Linked DNA regions of Schizosaccharomyces pombe. The protein of the gene in region 2 interacts with the protein of the main gene of each other region in a pairwise test. Each region holds a gene or a part of one and is shown on either strand. Other genes may lie near its edges.

The links. Proteins that work in one complex are often made in the same cells at the same time.
Region 1: the proteins of krp1 (region 2) and ngg1 interact in a two-hybrid assay, tested with the Schizosaccharomyces pombe proteins (one study listed by BioGRID).

Annotation. Positions count from the first base shown.
Region 1 is NC_003423.3:1,585,139-1,590,763, forward strand, and holds ngg1 (SAGA complex subunit Ngg1/Ada3), read right to left. Parts: upstream 3,261-5,625; 5' UTR 3,205-3,260; coding exon 1,549-3,204; 3' UTR 1,454-1,548; downstream 1-1,453. Other genes in the region: transcription factor TFIIA complex large subunit Toa1, read left to right, coding at 84-101, 147-248, 290-1,279; upstream binding transcription factor, RNA polymerase I specific, Hmo1, read left to right, coding at 4,221-4,250, 4,443-5,345. UniProt on the Schizosaccharomyces pombe protein: Component of the transcription coactivator SAGA complex. SAGA acts as a general cofactor required for essentially all RNA polymerase II transcription. At the promoters, SAGA is required for transcription pre-initiation complex (PIC) recruitment.
Region 2 is NC_003424.3:5,031,862-5,040,837, reverse strand, and holds krp1 (kexin), read left to right. Parts: upstream 1-4,257; 5' UTR 4,258-4,268; coding exon 4,269-6,398; 3' UTR 6,399-6,651; downstream 6,652-8,976. Other genes in the region: putative histone H3 lysine methyltransferase Set3, read left to right, coding at 1-936; etp1 (monooxygenase-ferredoxin fusion protein), read left to right, coding at 1,735-3,346, 3,392-3,630; RNA polymerase I upstream activation factor complex subunit Rrn10, read right to left, coding at 7,015-7,182, 7,235-7,360; RanGAP Rna1, read right to left, coding at 7,894-8,976. UniProt on the Schizosaccharomyces pombe protein: Membrane-bound, subtilisin-like serine protease that processes the P-factor precursor and other precursor proteins. Essential for cell viability. Cleaves substrate on the C-terminal side of dibasic residues.

The DNA of each region.
Region 1 (5,625 bases), on a different chromosome or scaffold from region 2:
TGTATCTCCTTATTTGAGGCGGCGGTCCACCTACCGCTATTTCTAAGTATCCTTTTACGAACTACGCATCCAACTGCACCACAATGTCCAATTCGATCGTCGTAAGTTAGTATTGTTTTAAGTGTTATTCTAATGTTTTTATCAAGGGTGAGGTCTATCACCACGTGATATTAGACGTGATTGCTAATTCACGGAGCGATTTTGAAGAAAATGGTGTTGATGATGCAACTTTACGAGAATTACAAAATGTACGGTTTTATGAAGTTTAGGTCTTTTTCTAATAAAACAGTTATGGCAAAGCAAGTTAGTTGCTACCGATGTTGCAACTTTTCCTTGGGCACAAGCTCCTGTTGGCACATTTCCCATTGGTCAATTGTTTGATCCAGTTAGCGGCTTGAGGACAGATTCATTAGATGTTACTGCTCCAGCTGTTGCAAACTCTCCCATACTTAATAATATAGCCGCTATTCGTGCTGTTCAGCAGATGGATACATTTGCGCAGCAACATGGTAATTCAAATTATTATTCTCCACCTACTCCCTCTCTCCCCCAGTCAGCAACAAATATTTCGTTTGACAGCTCTGCAATACCTAACGTACAGTCCAACCCTAATAATACTGCCCCCTTCCCTTCTTACAGCTCTAACTCATTGCAACTGCCCACTAATCAAACTGCTGACTCACCGATTATCAACGACCATTCGACTGCAAATGTAACTTCTACGGGCCAAGAACATGCTCCCGACTCTTCATCTACTAACTCATTTGGCGGATTGTTACTTCCCAATCAAAACTCTCCGAAAAAGTCTGAATTAGGAGAGACAGAGTCTTCTAATACCACCCCTGCTAATTCTCGTAATGACGTGCCTCAAACCGATGGTGCTATTCATGATCTAGATGATGCTGGGAGCCCTTCTAATTTTGAAAGTAATAGATTTGCTATTGCACAGAAAGCTGATGCTGAAATTTATGAAGTTTTGAAAAAGAATCGCATTTTGCAAATTGACGGCACTATAGAAGATAACGAAGATGAAAAAAAGCCACCTGTTGATACGCCTTCTGACGAAGCAATTAACTCAGATTTAGACGATCCTGATTCAGATGAGGCTCCCGAAACTGAAGAAGGTTCTGATATTGGACAGGCTATCGTTCTTTGTCTTTATGACAAAGTGAACCACCACAAAAATAAATGGAAATGTGTGTTCAGAGATGGCGTAGTTGGCGTTAATGGAAAAGATTACTTATTTTTCAAGGCGAATGGTGAGTTTGAATGGATTTAAAATTTTACTTTAGGTGTTTTGCTTCAAAAAGTGATGGACGTATTTTATCTATCAATCATTCTTCTTTTTGGCCTTTTTGTTTTCTTCATGAATCATGTTTATAAGTGCATTTAAGTAATCTTCCTATCATATTTTAGTGAGCACATCAATCTATTCTACGGTTAAAAGTATTATTATTATTTCATGCAAATTTTATTCACTAAAGCAAGCAATTAAATTAGATCACAATGATAGAATTACAGTATATACACTTTCAAATTTTAAACGCTTCATACAGATGTACTGTAATTAGATGTAGTGTGGTCCGATAAATCATTAAAAATAGAAGTTGGCGAACCAAGGTGTTGCGTAAGCTTATCCTGAAATAAAGGTTGAAGCTTTTCTAACCACATTGAGCGCTTGTCCATCAATGATTTGATGACAGGAAAAGAGCCGCTCGTAGCTGAAGAGCCAATTTTATCAGTAACAATACGTTTCTTTTTAACCTTCAAACTTCTGTTACGTTTGACATACGCTTGTTCGATTTGTTTATCTAGATCATCCATCACATTTTGGAATTCTTGAAATGCCATTTCCTCAGGAAGCATCTGTAACAGCGCATTCCTCATTTTTTCGTTTTCATCAGAAACTACCTTCAAACGAGCATTCAAACTCCTTAAGGTAGCTGAAATTTCATCATCCTGTCGCTTTGACCAATCTACATCGCCATCATAAAGTATACCTAGTTGTTTTAGGGTGTAACGAAGGCGGTCCTCACAAATTGAAAGACTCGACTCTTGTATATCCGGTTGTTCTGTATATTCATTATTTCCTGACTCGATTCCATCAATGCTTGTACCAATTTTGCTTTTCTCGGATCCAGAATCGGTTTCCGCAAATTCGCCAACAGCAATAGAAGGTTTTTGCTCCTCATCATTCTGCGTGTAGCAAGGAATTAATGAAGCCATTAGTCGTTCAGTGAGTGGACCACACCTAACTTCCTCAGAGACGGTATCTGCCTCATTAAAAGCTTCAAGGGATCCTTGAGCAGAGGTTTGCAGGTTTTGGTAAATTGAGTTAGCACACAGGTTGGTCATTTCATCTTCCGGAGTTAAATCGTAATAGCGTTCCCCCAAAGGAGGAATATTATAGGAAGACGAAACGTCAAATCCTTTTTTTAAAAAAGCAATATCATCATCATTGAAAGCACGAAAATATGGGTCAAGTGACGAATAAAAGGTTGATATTGAAATCTGGTTATTTGGCTTGTTGTGAGAAAAATCATCAGTCGCCGGAGTTCCTGCCACCAACGATCGTACATCACTGGTTGGAAAGGAATCTACACATAAAAGCTTCTTTTTTTGTTCATAAGAGAAGGAATCGTCAACAATGAAAGATAGTAATGAACCGGTTAGAAGATCGTTTGCGTTTTTATATACCAACCCAGTTGTCTGTTCATCTTTACCCTTAACCGGTAAATCTAATTCATTCTCAATTGTTTCCACATTTTCGGGACTGATTTCTTCATTATGGGCCTCTGAAACTTTGGGCTTCTTGGAAACTTTTTCTAGCATAGACTCTTGTGGACTTTCGGAAAGAGAACGCTTTTGCTTTATTTCTTGTTCAACGTTGTCTTCTTTAAATTCTTCTACTTTTTCTTCCACTTTATTAACCGACGATTCGTCTTTTGAGGTTTCTATTTCAGAATCGACATGAGACTCTAACTCTTCTTTGCGCTGGCGAAAATATTCTACACAAGACGGTTCACACTCAATCATTTTTTGCAGCTCAAACAGAAGCCGCCATAATGTCGACACAGACGGTACAACACCAGGAGTTGACGTTTCACTCAGACGGGAAAAGGTCTCGTATTGATTTTCAATTTTAAAACATTGAGGAATCACCGCGGGTTTCGAATCAGCTTCATTTTGTTGTTCGGAGGACATCCCAAAAAAATTTAAATCGTGAACAATACAACATTTACATATGTCTCTCTCCCCCGAAAAAATTCATTACTGAGGTGGTGATTTTTTATACCGGATTTCGATGATGGCGTACTTTTAGCGAAGTCTAGTATACCACTTGTTACATTGTTATAACGGTGCTCAGAAATATTAATCAAGAACAGCGTTGAATTGCTACGAATATGATATCTCAAACCAAATTAAACAGCAATATATTTTATTCATAGTGAATCCATCGCAAAAGCAATATGCTTTGCGAAGTATTTTGAACACTATAAGTGATCTTTGGTTTGTTTAAAATTAAATTTATCTTAAATTTAATAGTTTCTAAACCAATTGGTCTAGCGCAAGAACTAGATAAACAGAGTTGCAGCTTCACAAGATATCATGAAATAGATCTACGAGTCAATGGAATAGGATTTGTTTATACTTAATTAAGAGGTAAATATTTACAAGAAAATGTTTTATCATTTTTTTTTTTTAAATTTTGGATGTTTTTATTGCTATTCTTTCCATTTATGGGACATTATTTGACTGTAAGTCTCAGCAAATTTAGTGGATTGAGATTAGAAAAAGAAAAAAAAAAAAAAAAAAAAAAAAAATTTTTCTCGGTTGTAGATTTTCTCATATTTTCCTATTATATATTTAATTTACTACAATTGTCTTTTGTAATTTTCATTATATCACTCAACAGAATCACATGAAGAAATATCTCACTGAACCATCGTAATTTCAACAATAACAATTGTCACATATATTAAATAACTATAAACTGTAATAATAATAAAATGTGAAGAAAGCTCAACCGAACTGGTGGGTTTAACTGAAGCAATTTCATCTGCTTCGCATTTCCAGCATTAACCAACCACCCACCGTCATAACCGCTAAGATTTAAATTCCCGCCATCACCCCGGTAGGTCAGCCACCATTTCCTGTATTTGCCATCGTATTGAAGCTTTAGTTGTATTAGAAACTTTGAATATTTTTTAAGTAGTACGATGGCTCAAAACTCAACCCAACTGGAAAAGGTATGTGATATTTTAAAGAGTTTTGGTGTTTTGAACCAACATAATGTTTTATGATTCAAAAAATTGATTTAAATCAAGTATTTACTAAAAATAATCTTTTTTAATTGGTTGAAAAGTTTGATGATTAAATGCAAAATTTTCTTTAGTTATCCGCTTGGTTTTTGGTTTTTATCTAACAAATTGCCGTCTTAGATTTCTGGTTCTTTCACAAGGTTGGCGGAAGCTTTTCAGTTAGCTTTAACCGCATGCCGTGAGATCGAAGAATCACTTCCTTCGATATTAGGAGAGAAGTCCGAGGTTTCGAAACCTTTTAAGCCAGCCGTCACTGATCCATCAAATGCGAAGAAAGAGATTAATATGGCAATTGAGTCTCCTTCTAAAAAAGCAACTTCACCTAAGAAAGCTACTCCTGCAGCAGTAGCTCCTGTTGAGGCAACCTCCGCAGTCGATACGTCGGAAGCTGTAGCCTCCATGACCCCAAACAAGCGCAAGGCTAGGGATCCTGCACAACCAAAGCGCCCTCCATCAGCCTATAATCTCTTTCAGAAGAACCAACGATCGGAAATCAAGGAGTCTTTGGGCGAGAAGAGTAACGATGTTAAAGAGGTGAATAAAGCGATGCATGAAAAGTGGGGCTCGCTATCTGAAGATGATCGGAAAACTTACGAAGAAGAAGCTTCTAAACTTCGAGAAGCCTACGAAGAAGAAATGGCTGCTTATAATGCTTCTAAAGAAAATGCGTCAGTTGCTGATAGTCGAGTTACGGCTGAGGAAACTTCTACTAAACCTTCAGAAGACTTATCCTCTCCCACTAAAAAAGATTTGATAGACTTTTCAGAAACCAGACCATTGGCTCAAGCTTCTAGAGCCACTCCTGACATTAAAGAACAGCATGCTAAGAAACCGAAGCGAAAGCACACCCGTTCAACAGTACCTACAAGCAATGTTGAACCAGTTTCTCAACCTCAACCCTCTCCTGACAAAATCGTTTCTAGCCCCAATCCGCCATCAGCGAAAAGGGAAAAAAAGAAACGTCGCAAAAGCTCGATGTCTTCTTCCATTACCACTCCCCCTACCGCCAAAGTTGCTAATTGAGTTTGCTTGATAATTTCATTAATTGTGTATTTCCTTGTTCCGAACATTAAAGTTATAGGAAATGATTAATTAGCAACAAGTGTTTGCTTGTATTGCTGATTTGAGTGCTCTCTATTATTACTCAGGTTGCTAATGTCTGTAAATATTGCTTGTTAAAAATACTGGTTGTTATATAATACATAATAATCGTTTTTGGTCACAGCAGTTGTATATAAACGTTTAACGGCAGGCACATAATATCTATATTGGTTGAAATCTATTATAGCCTTAGAATAAATAA
Region 2 (8,976 bases):
GAACCTGAAGAATCCTCGATAACCCCTACAACTCCTCCATCTTTTAATGTTGGAGAATCACTAAGTAGGCGATCAGCCTCACCATTACAACATCCTCGAACAAGCCCAGATATGCTGGACAAAACTTCTCCTTGCAAAAGAGGATTAGGAACTATTACGACAGTCCACAAAAAGCATGGTTCTGTTGATCATTTGCCGTCAGTTAAAAGACGCCGTAGCATTGCAAATGATTTTCATGGCAAACCTGATTATAATAAAAGATCGCTATCTATCGAAAGGAAGCCGGAAGCCTTTAAGACTAAAGGTGACAGACCACATAAGGTCCATCCTTCTTTCCATAGAAATTCAGATTCAAAATTGAAACTCGAGCCGTCGAGTAAAGAAAAGAGTGGGTCCATGTTTTTTAATACGTTAAGGACTGTAAAAGATAAATCGCATGTTCACGACACTCAAAGGTCTTCTGACGTTAACTTTTCTAGACAGAATGGCACTCGATCCCATTCACCTTCGGTTAGTCCTGTCGGGTTTTCGTTTGATAAATCTCCTGTAACTACGCCTCCTTTGCCGACAGCTCCAGCACCAGTTATAACGAGTCGCCATGCTTTGGTAAACAACCAATTTCCTACGAACAATCCAAACATTTTGGACCACAAAGCCAACAACGGTGATGATATCTCGAATGCGTTAAATACTTCAAGAAGCGAAAACAAGCCCAATTCGAATCTGGTCCAAGGAAGTGTAGTCAAGCCTAGTAACACTTCAGCCTCTGCTCTTCCTACCTCAGCACCGAAGAAGCTATCTCTTTCTGAGTATCGACAACGACGTCAACAAAACATTCTGCATCAACAGTCGAAGGATAATCAAGCACATGGCGATACAGCTAGGCCTCACACCGTTCCTGCTGCTACAGTTTCTAACCCTTCATTTACGCGATAAAAATTCTAGAAGATGTTGTAAATCTTGAAACCATATAAATGTGTGGATGATTTTTTTTATTGGATATGGTATACGAACAAGTTTTCACGATTCTAAAGTTGGTACGATGACTGCATCTTTTTACCTTCATATGTATTTTCATTTCATTTTTTTATTATGATGATTGGTACTCGGAGCATATTTTACTGTCACCTGCTTCTGCATTCTTTTCTTCTTCGTTTGTAAATATTTAATGACTAAGTGTTTGGGCGAAAACTCTAGTTCCTTTTTTTTTTTTTAGTTTCTTTTGATTCAGAGCAACGAACCCTCAGTCGTTGCATTTTTCTGTTCCTAATTTGCACGTTTAGAACATTGTACAATATAATAATATTAATTTATAGCAGTTAAATGATTTATGTTTGTCATATAGAAGTTTCGGTTCGTAAGATTATAAGAACTAACTATTTAAGATGTCAGCTATTTCCGTATGCGACATGTACTAGATTAAATAACTTTTTGGATACGCAAATGAAGCTAGTACATTTTGAGTATTAAGTATCATAAATATAAACATCGATTCAAATATGCTACGTGCAGATTTCAGCGAATTGTCGCATCAAATTAAACTATTCATCGACGATCCACTCAGATCTTGTATATATCAAACGGCCTACGTTAATATAGCTTGTCTACTTATAGCGACTCTGAAAGTGCGCCGTTAGATTATTGTGGTATAGAACCGGGAGGTTAGGTACCATTCCTCTCTCTCCATGAACCTACTTTTTTAAGCGAAACGCAAACAAAAGTAAACAATTACCAATGAACATTTCACGTTCATCAGGTCTGATGAGACAGTTCCTGCTTCAGCCCTTACGGAAAGGCTGCGACATTTCTTGCCTTGGAAGGTCAAGTTGGAGAATGAGCAGGAGCTTCTCTGGATCGAGTGTTTTAAATGAAATTAATTTGTCACGGACTAAGAATTTATTTTTGAATGATTGTAAGTTTAATAAAAATTCATTTGAAAAGTTTTTTGCTCGCCGGCTGAGTAACTCAGTCGCTCCTACACCAGGTGGCATCCTACAGGAAACCGAAAAAATTCCGAGTAAAAAGGTCGCCTTTTGGCTGCTTGGATCTTCTGCTCTTGTTCTTGCAATTGTTGTTGTAGGTGGCATTACTAGACTAACTGAATCCGGGTTAAGTATTACTGAATGGAAGCCCATCACTGGCGTAATTCCTCCTCTTACTGATGAACAATGGAACCAAGAATTTGAGCTTTACAAAAAATCACCAGAGTTTGAGAAGCTGAACAGCCATATGACAGTGGATGAGTTTAAAAACATATTTTTCTGGGAGTGGTTTCATCGTGTCCTCGGTAGAGGAATCGGCTTGACAATCCTTCTTCCTTCCATATACATGATTGTGACTAAAAGGGCATCTCCTTGGCTAAGCAAGCGACTAATCGGCCTTACGGGACTCGTTGGACTTCAAGGAGTCATCGGTTGGTGGATGGTCAAGAGTGGTCTTTCAGAAGAGCTCTTCAGTGATGGTTCTCATCCGCGTGTTAGTCATTATCGCTTGGCTACTCATTTAGCCGCTGCCGTTGCTCTCTATATTGGCTTGGTGTGGACTGGGCATGGAATCCTTCAACGACATGCCTTTTTGAAATCTATGAAGAGTGGCTCCACATCTCAATTGACTTCAATGGTTTCTTCAGTTCAGAAAATGAAAGGATTTCGTACTAGTGTTAACTCATTTGTTGGCTTGGTACTGATCACCCTTTTGTCCGGTGCCTTTGTTGCTGGATTGGATGCCGGAATGATTTATTGTACTTTCCCGGAAATGGGCGAAGGAAGACTTGCTCCATCTAAAAGCGAGTTATTTGATCAAAGGTTTTGTAGGAAAGACGACAAGTCCGATCTTATATGGAGAAACATGATTGACAACCCAAGTCTTGTTCAACTCGAACACCGTATCTTAGCTATTACTACTTTTGTTGCTGCATGTGGTCTTTTTATTTTTTCCCGTGCTAAAAGAAACATTTTGCCTAAGAAGATTAAAACTAGCATTAACGTTGTTACAGGCGTTGTAACTGCTCAAGCTACTTTGGGTATTATGACTCTAATCTATGTTGTCCCTGTACCTTTGGCAGCCCTTCATCAAGCCGGTAGTCTTGTTACATTAACCGCGGCCTTATCACTTGCTCAGCGCTTGCATCCAGAATACGCTTTAAAAAACATCCGCTCATGGACAAAATTAATCTCTTCTCCTCCCAAAAGTAGCATTTCATCTTCCATTTTGACTCAACAACGCCAATTCCATACATTCCGCCCATCATTCCATTCCGAAATTAAAAAGCCTTTGCCGGGCACTGGAATCAAAGTTTTTTTCGTCACGCCTGAAGGACGTGAAATCATGATTGAGGGAAATGAAGGTGATAGTATTTTAGATCTCGCTCATGCTAACAATATCGATTTAGAAGGCGCTTGTGAAGGGTCTGTTGCATGTTCGACTTGCCATGTTATCGTAGATCCAGAGCATTACGAACTTTTGGATCCCCCGGAAGAAGATGAAGAAGACATGCTTGATTTAGCATTTGGTCTTGAGGAAACAAGCAGATTGGGATGCCAAGTACTCTTAAGAAAAGATTTGGATGGCATCCGTGTACGAATTCCTGCTCAGACTAGAAACATACGATTGGAGAGACCAAAAGCTTGATTTTGTCAACATGCTTACAATTTGACAAGTGTCTCGTACTAGTATTCCATAAAAGTATTTTCTTCCGAAAGTATACTATCTCATCCGTATTCTCAACTTTCATTTTTTTTTTTTGGATCAAGTTCATGCCTAGCTAATAAATGCACATAACTAATTAAATAGTCAACCTGGCACATGGTTTTACATTTTAACTATATTCCTTCTTTATCCAGACTACAGTTGTTTTAATTATAAATTAACCCTTTGTTTTCAAATCTTACACTTAATCATGAAAACTTGTAATATTACTAAGACCAGGATGAAGATGGTTTCTAAATTTCATACTTTTAATGTTTTCATCGTCGTTTATATTTTTTTTACTATTAAATGCTTAAAGTTATTTCATGATTAACAAGTAGATGCTCTATTTTTCTGTATTGATGAAATGTAATATATAACATGGTATTATAGTAGACACACGGTTTAGCAATTGCTCACTTTTGCCATGTATTTCTTAATTGGAAAAGTTTAAATACTGACAGCTTTACACTTTATATGTGTTTTAGTCGAATGGCTGTTTTATTGTACATAGCCACCACTATGGTACAGTGGACACCATAATCTGTTAAGCCACCTAGTGCATACACCGTCCCAGCACCATGCATCCTGCTTTGCTATGTGGGCCAATTCTTGCAATATTTTTACAGTTTTTGGTTTCTTCTTGCTCTCCATTAGAAAACGATGATTTATTTCTAGTTCAAGTGGAACCTGAAGTTGATCCTGTAGTAGCAGCAGAAGCCATTGGTGCTAAGTATGTGCGCCCTTTATTAAATTTGAAGTATCACCATTTAATTAAGCTACATAAGGGGAGCGATGATTCAGTCCAAAGTTCAATTCGAAAACGAGGCATTGATGCCGGAATCTTGGAATTGGAGCGCCAGACGCCCAGATGGCGCTACAAGCGGGATGCGAGTGAATCTGATGAATTACTGAATGAGTTCTCTAATCATTTTGGAATTTCGGATCCTCTCTTTTATGGCCAATGGCACATATTCAACTCGAATAATCCTGGACACGATCTGAATCTACGTGAAGTCTGGGACGCCGGTTACTTCGGTGAGAATGTTACCGTTGCATTTGTAGACGATGGAATTGATTTTAAACATCCAGATTTGCAAGCTGCTTACACTTCGCTTGGTTCTTGGGACTTCAATGATAACATTGCTGACCCTTTGCCAAAGTTATCAGATGATCAGCACGGCACCCGTTGTGCTGGAGAAGTGGCTGCAGCTTGGAACGACGTTTGTGGCGTAGGCATAGCTCCACGCGCCAAGGTCGCTGGACTTCGTATTCTTTCGGCCCCTATTACTGATGCTGTTGAATCGGAAGCACTGAATTATGGCTTTCAAACAAATCATATATATTCATGTTCCTGGGGCCCTGCAGATGATGGAAGAGCAATGGATGCTCCTAATACGGCTACTCGTCGTGCGTTGATGAACGGTGTCCTTAATGGCCGAAATGGTCTTGGGTCGATTTTTGTGTTCGCTTCTGGAAATGGAGGCCATTATCATGATAATTGCAATTTTGATGGCTACACGAATAGCATATTCAGTGCTACCATTGGTGCTGTTGATGCTGAACATAAAATCCCATTTTACAGTGAGGTGTGTGCTGCGCAATTAGTTTCAGCATATAGTAGTGGCTCACATTTGTCTATATTAACTACAAATCCTGAAGGCACATGTACTAGAAGTCATGGTGGTACCTCAGCGGCTGCTCCGTTAGCATCTGCTGTATATGCTTTGGCGCTTTCGATTCGTCCTGACCTTAGTTGGAGAGACATTCAGCATATTACAGTGTATTCAGCATCTCCTTTTGATAGCCCTTCTCAAAATGCAGAATGGCAAAAGACTCCAGCAGGATTCCAGTTCTCCCATCATTTTGGGTTTGGTAAATTGGATGCATCGAAGTTCGTCGAGGTGGCTAAGGATTGGCAGGTCGTGAATCCACAAACCTGGCTCATTGCTCCAGAAATTAATGTTAATAAATCATTCGGGAGTGTTAACAATGAGACAATAACTGAAATGGTAAGCGAATTTACCGTTACTAAGGATATGATTGAGAAAAGCAACTTCAAAAGATTAGAACATGTCACTGTTAGGGTGTGTATACCTTTTAACCGAAGAGGAGCATTGGAGATTCTCTTGGAAAGCCCTTCCGGCATTCGTTCAATCCTTGCCAGTGAACGACCGTATGATGAGAATAGTAAGGGGTTTTTAGACTGGACGTTCATGACTGTGCAGCATTGGGCCGAACCTCCAGAGGGGGTTTGGAAGTTACTGGTTAATGATCGAAGTGGTGGAAAGCATGAAGGTACGTTTGAAAATTGGCAGTTGGCTTTGTGGGGAGAATCTGAAAACCCTTCTAATACTGCACCACTCCCTTATGACACTCTTGAGCTTCCAAAGGAGATGGTCTTGGGAATATACTCTGAACCAAATAGCGATCTGACTAACTCAAGTACCTTGTTGAGCCCTACGTCTACTTCATTTACTTCTTACACCGTATCTGCCACAGCTACACCTACATCAACGTCTCATATACCGATTCCTACAGTCCTACCCCCTACCCAACCTGTATTGGAACCCTCTTATAGAGAAATTGTTGCATTTATTACTTTCTTTTTGTTGTTTGCCTTTATTTTCGTTGCTGTCATATGGACATGGATTTCCGCATTTTGGAAAGCTAAAGCACCCCCACCATTGTCTCAGCAAGAAATTGCTTGAAAAGTTAACACTCGTTTTTTCACTTCTGTTTAAAATAATATGGACTACTTTTTAAAGTATGATCTCTTCTTAGATGTCACTTGTCATTCGTTTCATTCATCGATATGAAACAACCTAATTGGCATTTCTTAATTTTGCATTTTAATAAATACGCATGGACTACGTATTTAATTCGACCCCTTTGAAGTGTAATCATTAGATAGCGTGTATAAATACCAAGTAATAAAATGTATATTGGATTATGCTTTGGGTAGTTGAAGTGATTGTCTTTACGATTCACTGGTAACAGTATTCGGATTTAATAGTAAAGGCTTTGCAAAAAAAAAATAGTTGAAGTCCTAATATGTTTGCTAATGTATCGCAAAGCTTGTTAAAATCTTAACAGCATCGTTGCTTCTCGCTTTTCAGCAGCCTGCATACATGTCAAGCAATGTAATTACATCTGTAATGTTGATTTTAAACAATTATCAAAAGATAAAAATTTCAATACACAAATACGCATTCATAGCTGTTTAACAACTTTACGCCATATAGAAAAATCATCAAAGTTAGTCATACAAATGTAACGGAGTCATCTCGAAACAAACGAATGAAAAGTAAAATGTACAAGGATAATTCATCTTTCTTCAAATTCTTCCAAACAATCAGTAACCATAGCATCCATCCATTCAGTCACCAAATATCCCAACCCCAATAAAGCACTTTCATCCAAACACTCGAATGACTTTTTCCCTGTCGCAAGCATGTATTCTGTTGCAAAATCCTGGATGCTATGAACTAAATCCTAAACATAAAAAGATTAGTTAAACAAGTATTGGCAGAAGCTGTGAACTTACAGGATCCGGCAGTTCATGTGGAATTGGAACAGAAAAATCCTGTACTAAATCACGAGCTCTGTAAGACAATTCACCATCAGCATTCACCAAATTATACAAAGTTGGCCGAGTTGGTGGATTTGACATTAATAGATGGCGTTGGACGTAGAGTATGTACTATGCTAGGTGAAGCTTCTAATTCGTCCTTGCAGTAGTACAATCATATTTGGAAACACCAAGCTCAAGTAATGGAATCCCCACATTCTTAAAAGTTAACTGCGACTTACAGAAAATTTATCTCGAGGTTTACAGACATACTGAAAAAATAGTTCAGGCTTTACGACATAACAACAAAACAACTTTACACAGATACAATCCAAACCATATTATATTGACCCAATACTTAATTAAAGTGGGTTATTAATAAAACGTAAAGAACCTTTTCGCCATTTTTGAAAGGGGAATTTTTTTTCTGTCATATACAGATTTAATCTAATACTATTTATCGGTCCTGCCGCGTAAAAAGACAGAATGTTGATAAAAATGCAGAAGGAAATCGAATGGTCGATATAGACCATCCGTTGACCACAATCGTTCATTACCGCCTAGCATGAACAATAGAAATATGTTAAAAAATTTCGGAAACAGCGGAGCAGGGTTCGAGAGGGAAAGTAGTTGCTCTAAATATGAGCTTTTGATAGCTCATCAGCAAGTTCTTTGTCTTCTTTTTCTTCTTCAGAAGTCTCCGGCTCAGGGCTTTGAGACTCAGCTTCTTCTTCTTCATCCTCCTCCTCCTCGTCGGTAAGTTCCTCCATATCATCAAGCTCATCTAGTTCACCACGACCACGGGTGCTAAAGACTTCACGTATTTCATCAACAACATCGTCTTCTTCCGAAAATCTGTTTCCATTTAATTCAAGGAATAAAAGATCCGGCATTTTCTCATCAATCACAGTTTTTAGGGTCCGGACAGCATCCAGCTCTATCTCGTTATACTGTAAGCGTAACGTTTGAAGCCCAATATTTTCTAATTTAGAAAAAGCATCTACAACTGCGGCAGCACCGCGAGCAGATAAGAGACAATCGTTGAGGCCTAGTTCTCGAAGGTTGGGCCAGCTTTTCAACGCGATAGCGAGAGCGCTAGAGCCCAAGTGCGTAAATGTGTTATCTTGAAGATCGAGTACCTTTAGCTCTTGGCAATATGCTAATCCTTCAAGCAATAAGTGTTCAATACCTTCGGGACGGATACCATTTTGCACCATTTTCACTGTATGTAGCAAACGGTGGCTCTGGAAAGTTTTAGCCCATTCTTTCATACTCCCATTTTCTAAACGATTTCTTCCACAAATAATGGAACGCAAGGGAGGTGCATTTTTAGCTTTCTTGTTGACCGCCAGCTCTTGCAAGGCACGAGCAATTTTTGCGCCAGCTTGAGGACCGAGTCCATTATTGTGTAGGTAAAGATGCTCCAAAGGTGTGTGTTTTGAAAGAAAGTCAATCAAGGGCTCCTGTGCAGTAGGGCCAAAGGCATTATCGCTCAATCTTACAGTATGTAGTTTTGGGCACTTGAGTAAAGCTTGTAGCAACAGACGTAAAGCCTCAGGAATTTCATCTTTGACACGTCCAGTAAAGATATCACTAAACTCTGCAATTTCTAAATCTTTTTTTGAGGCAATATTCTCTGACAACCATCTAGCAGCTTCGGTTCCAATTGTGTTACCAGACAATACAATTTCCTTTACAGAATCATCTTCTAACAGAAC